Linked DNA regions of Rattus norvegicus. The protein of the gene in region 1 binds, or shares a complex with, the protein of each later gene. Links are inferred from orthologs where the notes say so. Each region holds a gene or a part of one and is shown on either strand. Other genes may lie near its edges.

The links. Proteins that work in one complex are often made in the same cells at the same time.
Region 2: Gtf2f1 (region 1) and Polr2d share a complex: the UniProt entries of both Homo sapiens proteins name them as parts of the TBP-based Pol II pre-initiation complex. The link is inferred for Rattus norvegicus from reciprocal best matches to the Homo sapiens genes GTF2F1 and POLR2D.

What each region holds. Positions count from the first base shown.
Region 1 is NC_086027.1:1,930,533-1,933,865, forward strand, and holds the end of Gtf2f1 (general transcription factor IIF subunit 1), read right to left. Parts: intron 1,922-3,333; coding exon 1,768-1,921; intron 1,680-1,767; coding exon 1,618-1,679; intron 1,536-1,617; coding exon 1,416-1,535; intron 1,294-1,415; coding exon 1,220-1,293; intron 1,149-1,219; coding exon 1,010-1,148; intron 904-1,009; coding exon 813-903; intron 729-812; coding exon 524-728; 3' UTR 501-523; downstream 1-500. UniProt on the Homo sapiens protein: TFIIF is a general transcription initiation factor that binds to RNA polymerase II and helps to recruit it to the initiation complex in collaboration with TFIIB. It promotes transcription elongation.
Region 2 is NC_086036.1:23,691,141-23,695,377, reverse strand, and holds the start of Polr2d (DNA-directed RNA polymerase II subunit RPB4), read right to left. Parts: upstream 2,801-4,237; 5' UTR 2,746-2,800; coding exon 2,673-2,745; intron 1,334-2,672; coding exon 1,153-1,333; intron 1-1,152. UniProt on the Homo sapiens protein: Core component of RNA polymerase II (Pol II), a DNA-dependent RNA polymerase which synthesizes mRNA precursors and many functional non-coding RNAs using the four ribonucleoside triphosphates as substrates.

The DNA of each region.
Region 1 (3,333 bases):
AATCCCAAACCTGTCCTCCTGGAGGACTGTTAGAAGCTGAGCGTTCCCAAACGCATGCATGCCACCATAAACCCACACAGCACCCGGATCTACAATGGGGACGAGGGCATAGTGGCTCAGGAGTGGAGCCCCTGCCTGCCTAGAATCCCCCAGTGAGGAGCTGTGAGTGTGGCCAGTGCAAAGGTAAAATGAAATTAAACTCGTGAAGATTGCACAGGAGACAAGTCCTGGTTATGGACTGAGCTCAGTGGGCAGGAAGGCCGTGTCCTCTGCAAGAATGGAGGCTTGCACTAGAGAGATGGCTCAGAGGTTAAAGAGCACGGACTGTTCTTCCAGAGATTCTGAGTTCAACTCCCAGCAACCACACAGTGCTTATAATCATTGATAATGTAATCTGGTGCCTCTTCAGGCATGCAGGCAGAATGCTGTATATATAATAGAGGCTCAAATGCCTCAGGGCTCCTCCGGGAGGGCAGGGGTGGCAGTGATGACTCGCACTCTGGGCCTGCTCTCTTTATTGGCATCACTCTTTGAGGGAGAAGTGCATCTTGTCCCCAATCATCTTGCGCTCAGGGTTGAGGCGCTTGAGAATCTGCGCCAGCACATTCACTGTCTGCTCGCTGCTCAGCCCCGTCTTCTTGGTCTGGAACTTCTTCAGCAGGTCCTTCGTGGTCATGGGCTTCCGGGTCAGGTAGCGGCGCACAGCATCCTCTGTCACCTGGACATCACTGAGGGGAAAGAAAGGAGGCTGGGTCATACAAGAGTCCCTTTAGCCCGATCCTACCTATGGTCCCGCTCCTGTCTGAACATACCCGCTGCTGGGCGTGGACTTCCCAGACAGGCTCTGGGGACCTGTGTCCATCCGAAGGCGCTTGGCTGCTGGAGTCTCACTTGTCCGCTTCCCTGGAGGAGAGAATAATGTCAGGCCCAGGTGGGGCCCAGGTCGGGGACAGCAGATGTGCAGAACCGGCAGCTCTGGCTCTCGTGGACAGGCTTTTCTGGCACTCACCCTGTTCCAGCTTGCTGGCCGCGGCCCGCAGGGTAGAAGAGGTGCTTGCCGCTTCTGCACTGGGAGTTCCTGGCCGGCTGGTGCCCTTTGAACTTCCCCCGGATGGCTTCCGCTCCCTCTTGGGGGGTGTCTTCTTCTTCTGCAGAGATTGGGGGGTGAGTCTGAAGGCTTGGACTGTCAATCCCACTCAAGTCCCCAGCTCTGACTTACCGCCATGAAGAGCGCAGAGGAGGTCTCACTGTCAATGTCGCTCTCTTCTGAGCTGTCTGAGTCATCACTGCTGTCTGCATAGGACAAACATCCAAAGCAGTGAGCCTACAGAGTCCACCCACCATCACCTGTGCAGGCGGGTTCAAAGGAAGAGGAGGGCACTGGCCATCACTGCAGCCTTGTGCTCCTCACCCACCTTTCCTGCGTTTCTTCTCTTGTGGGGTAGGGGCCTTCTTCTCTTCCTCCTCCTCCTTGTCCTCCTCGGGGGGCTTCTCCTCCTCACTCTCCTCACTGCTCTCACTCTGTTCGTCCACACCTGGGACACAGGCCACAGGTGTGAGCAGCGCCCACTGCTGAGCACACTCCCACTCCCCGGCTGGCCCCCAGCGGGCACCTACCCTTGGGGCCATCCTCCTGCTGGGGCACCTTGGGCTTGCCCTCTGCCTCATCCGGTGAGCTGCTATAGGGCAGAGAAGGGCAAGGTATGAAGTTGGGTGACCACAGGCCTGCCTCGCCCCTGCTTCACCTCTGCCTCACCCCTGCCTCACCTGGAGCCGTCAGACATGTAGTCTACCTCCTGGCCCTCAAAGTCCCCGTCATCACTGTCCTCAAAGGCCTCATCATCTGAGCCCTTCTTCTTTTTCTTCTTCCTGCCTGCCTTGGTCACTGGGGCCTTTTTCTTAGCCTTGGAGGCTCTGCTGCCTGTGAAAGGAAGGAAAGTATAGGAGGAGCTCAGATTGGATGAGCCCAGATCTTTGCTCACTGCTGGGCAGGGGCTCCACTTAATCCCCACCCCTGCTCACTGGGAGATTCTAGGCAGGGACAACACCCATAAGCAGCAGTCCCCATGTAGCCAGGAAATCCCGACACCCGATGTCACATTTCCTGTGTGACGTCAGGTCACATAGCATCTAAAGCCTCTATATCAAGTATCTGAGCAAGTAGCTATGTGGGGACAAATAGCCGATTCACAGTCACCAGGAGAAATGGGAAAGAAATCAAGGACTTGGCCTGGTTAGTCTTACATCGCCTCACACAAGTCAGAGTCATCTGGGAGGAGAGAGGCTCAGCTGAGAAACCCTCAGCTGTAGGCAGCCTGTAAGCTATTCTCTTAGTCAGTGATTGATGTGGCAGGGCCACTGTGGGTGGGGCCATCCCTGGGCTGGTGGTCCTGGGTTCTCTAAGAAGCAGGCTGAGCAAGCCATGAGAGCAAGCCAGTCAGCAGCACTGTCCATGGCTTCCTTCAGTGATGGATTAAGCTGCAGAAGTGGAAGCCAAATAAACCCTTTCCTCCCCATGTTTGCTTTGGTCATGGTGTCTTATCATGGCAATAGTAACCCTGACTAAGACAGATCTGAATTATTCCAAAAGTCATCATGGTGATGGATGTTCAACTCTATAGAGAAAACGAACATGAGAAAACACACATGTAATTACTTCTGATATGAAGCCTTGGTTTGTAGTCCAGGCTTGCCCTAAGTAATTGTCCTCCTGCATCAGCTTCTTCTTTTTTTTTTTTTTTTTTTTTTTTTGGTTCTTTTTTTGGGAGCTGGGGACCGAACCCAGGGCCTTGCGCTTCCTAGGTAAGTGCTCTACCACTGAGCTAAATCCCCAGCCCCTCTGCATCAGCTTCTTAAGTGCCAGGGACACAGGCCTGTGCCACCATTAGCCAGCTTTCTGAGGATTCTTACAAGCTGCTGAACTGCAGTATAAACAGTACATAAATATAAATTGTACCTCAGACAAAGGAGGGACAGAGAGGAGAGAGAGGTAACCTAGGCAAGCGGTTCTCAGCCTTCCTAACACTGACCCTTTAACACAGTTCTTCACGTTGTGGTGACCCCAACCATAACGTTATTTTTAGTGCTGTTCGTAACTGTACTTTGCTACTGTTATGAATTGTAAATATCTAATATAGGGGGTTGGGGATTTAGCTCAGTGGTAGAGCGCTTGCCTAGCAAGCGCAAGGCCCTGGGTTCGGTCCCCAGCTCCAGAAAAAAAAAAAAGTAAATATCTAATATGCAAGTTATCTGATATGTGACCCCTGTGACCCCTACTTGTGTTGTGTTGTGTGGGGTTTGGGGAGCTTTTGTTTATTTTTGTTTTTGTAGACA
Region 2 (4,237 bases), on another chromosome or scaffold:
GGTGGGGGAGCACCCTCGTAGAAGCAGGGGTTGGAGAGATGGGATAGAGGAGTTCCAGAGGGGAAACTGGAAAGGGGATAACACTTGAAATGTAAATACATAAAATATCCAATAAAAAAAATAATAAAATAAAAATGAATACAAGAAATCGTACCTGGAGGGCAGCGAGTGCATGATGGCATATACTAGTAACCCCAGAATTTGTGATGCAGTGGAGAAAATTTTGACTGAGTCAAGTCTGAGAGCCTTTTTTCTGGTAGGCAAAATTTGGGGGTGGGGGTGGGGGCTTCAAGCCCTTGATTACTTTTTTTTAACAGGTTCTATCTATGTAGTCCTGGAACTTGCTATGTAGACCAGGCTGGAGTCAAACAGAGATTCTCCTGTCTCTGTCTCTCAAATTCTGGGATTAAAGGCATACCCAGTTAGGGTTTTTTTGTTTGTTTGTTTGTTTTTCCCCTAAGTATTTGTGTGTGGTCTGTTTATTTAGCCATTTGTGTGTATGTGTAAGTGCGTAAGCATACATACTTAGAAGGCAACTTCTCATTCATTCTCAGAGCTTCTGGGTGCATCTGGGGTTCTATATAAGCTCAGGTCCTAAGACTTACCCAGAAAGCACTTTTGGTTGCATTTGTTTGTTTGTTCTATAGACCAGGCTGGCATCGAACTCAGAGATATGCTTGCCTCTACCTCCTGAGTGCTGGGTTAAAGGGGTGCACCACCACCTCTTGGCTGAAGCATGTTTTACCCACTGAGCCATCTCAGCGGCCCCTGCTTTGTTAGCATTTTTAAAACAGCGTCTCATGCAATCAAGGCTGGCTTTGAACCTACTATGCCCCTAAGGATGCCCTTGAACTCCTGGATCCTACAGCCTCTGTCTTTCACGAGAGTCTATAATAATAAAACCGTTTTGTAGGGCTGGAGATGCGGTTCAGCAGCTGAGGGCACCAGCTGCTCTTTCAGAGGACTTGGGTTTCGAGTCCCAGCACCTACACAGTGACTCACGACTGTCCGTAATTCCAGCCCTGGGGAGCTAACGCCCTATTCTGGCCTCTGTGGGTGTTTACACACATGGTGCACAGACATACAAGCAGCCAAACTCCCATAACACATACATAAGTAGATTTTAGTTTTGGGCTTATGTTCAGTACTCACCTACGAACACTGGCAATGGTCTCTCTGTTTTTGAACCGGCTGAAACGGGCTGTATAGTTCAGGGTTTTCATGAAAACCTCTGAAAGCTCCTGTTCGTCCTCCGCACTCTCATTCTGCTGCTTTCGGTGCTCCAGAAGCATGTGAACTTCAGAGTTCAGGAGCGTCTCAGCTGTTTCGAACTCTGGAAGAAGAATAAATGTGAACTGAAAATACTCTTTTCAAAGTCTCAGCATTTGGGAGGCAGAGGCAGGATGATCTCTGTGTTTGAGGCCAGCCTGGTCTATTATTGATGAGCTGTAAGATAGCCAGAGAGACTCAAAAACACCAAACAAACGAAACCAGAAGGCTAGAGAAATGAGCATGCACTGCTCTTTCGAAGGAAGTTCAATTCTCAGCACCCCATCAGACACCTCATAGCACCTCTCCCCTCCTCAGATACCTGCACAGACATAATTAAAATAAAAATAAATTTTACAACAGTGACATAAGGGCTGGAGAGACGACAGCTCCGCACTTAAGAGCATTGGCTAATCTTCTAGAGGATAAGGGTTCTGCCACACACAGCACCAACAAGATGGCTCGAAATCATCTTTTAAGTCCAATTAGTACATCTGGCTTCTATGGACACCTCACATGCATGCAGACCTACACGCAGGCAAAATAATCCTTATATATAAAAATTTAAAAACAAAGATTCTCCATCTCAATTAAAAACACACACAAAAGACAGAAGATAACCTCACTTGCTGGGGCTGGGCAGATGATTAAGTGGATAATGTACTTGCCACTCCAGTGTAAGAAGCAGAGTTAGGATCCTCAGAACCCACAAAACAGGTACAGAGGGTTCCTATATCTAACAGTTGGTAGGAAGAGACAGGGGATTGATTTCCTGGGGCAAGGTGACTAGTTTAGACTAGTTTAGTAGCAGGAACAGCACTATGCACAGAGGCTGGCACACATCCGACAAAAGGAAGTACCAGACATCCCAAACCGGAACCCATCTTGCTCTCAAACGTTCTTCCTAACTCGAAAAGCTACAACGAAGGTTCAGAAACCAACGGCAACAGCATCTCTCCTCAGAGGCCAGGGCAGAGAGCACTTCTGACCCACAGATCTTGAAACGCTTTGACTAGCACTGTGAGAGGAACCATAGCTCAGCTTTTACTGGCTGCCAATTTTGAAATGAGACCTCTGCTCCAGATCTTCTGCATGACAGGAAAAGGCATAGCTTAACTCCCCCTAAAAATCAAGAGCGATGGCGCATGCCTTTAATTCTAGCACTCAAGAGGAAAGGGCACGAATGTGATAAGGTGGAGGCTAGCCTAGGATACCTAATTAGACGCTCTCACAAAAACAAAACTGCTGGGTGTAGGGGAATTAACTACGAAAGGGTTCATTTGTACCGGGCTGACCAATCAATCCCCCGTGCCGGCCCCGAATGCTCCCTGTGGGCAGGGAACGGATAACGACTATAACTCAAGGACAATGTCACCTCAGAGTCGAACTGTCCCGGATACTACCTTTGGGAAAGATGAGCTGGGAAGCATCTTCTTCTACGTCGCCAGCTCGAGGATCGCTTCCACCTGCCGCCATCGCCCTGCGCACTGCCACAGACACTGCCGGAGACGGAAGCCGCACGGACGGGCTCTTCTAAGGAAAAGAACCAATCCGGCTCCGGGGTGGGGCCAAGTGAATGGGCGGGGCCGAGAAAGCGGGCGGACGACGGTAGGTCAGGCACCCTGCTATCACACTAGGGGAAACCCGCGAGACTGCCCGCGACAGGGGCGGTCCGGGCGCAGTCTAGCGGCTTCCGGTCGTTGGAGGTGTGGTTCTGTGCTGCCTGCTTGGAGATTAAAGTGTTTATTTTCGGCAACACACTATTGCCGTGGCACCTGGGAGCGTCAAGTAAGCCATTTCAGAAGAAAGTGAGGTGCAGGACTGAACTAAGTGGCTGATCCAAGGAATGTCCTATGTTGAAAAGCTGGGTAGGTGACTACAGAAACATACTGAAATCTCTTTCAATGATTGAATTGTGTCTTAAGAAAAAAAAAAAAAGACTAACCCCTGTGTGGTGGTAATGAATCAATCACTGAGCGCGAGGATCAAGAGTTGAAGGAGATCAGTTTGTAGTGGCGCATGCCTTTAATCCTAGCATGCCCGAGGCAGGCAAAGGCAGGTGGATCTTTTGAATTTGAGACTAGCCTGGTTTACAAAGTGATATAAAACCAGGGCTACATAGTGAGATCTTGTCTCAAAAAAAAAAAAAAAATTCACAAAGAGGCGTGGCTACTTAGCAAATTCCCAAGAATCCATGCCAGTTTAGGTAACATACCATCCTGTTAAATTGTTCCTGTGTATTTAACAATTCTGAGCAGGTGAAGTTTAATATTGAGAACCCTTTATCATATCTGTTGAGACATTTGAATAAGTAGAAAGCTAAATGAAAAAGTGATATTTTCAATTTAAAGAGAAACAAAAGTCTATACAATAAGGGGGACAAACACTTCTCCAGTTTTTGGGTCATTAGTGAACACTAGTAAACCCTGTAACTTAATAAAAAATGGGCTGGAGAGGTGGCTCTGTGGTTAACACTTGATGCTTTCAGAGGGCCTGGGTTCATTTCCCAGCACCCACACCAGATGGCTCACAAACACCTGTGACTTCAGCTACAAGGGATCTAAACCCTTTCTGGTCTCTCTTTTGGAGGTGAAACACACCATACACACCCTTCACATACACAGAAAATAAATCTTTTTAAAAATTGATAGAAGTATTTATTACAAGACAAGAAAATGTATTTTTATTATATATACAGAGGTGCACAGAAGAGATTAGAGGATAATTTTGTGGAATTTGTTCTCTGTTTCCAGTTTTGCATAGATTCTGGGGATTGAACTCAGGGCCTTTATCTGCTGCATGATCTCACTGGTCCAAGAATAGGTAGTCTTTTGGTTTGTAAATAAAATGAGTTTTACAAAACTGCTGTGTATCTATATTTGTAGAAGGAATGCATTGGTTAAAATAAATGGTTATATAGTATTGACAGCTTTTTAACCATTTCTCGGTGCTTTCCTGAACAGCATGT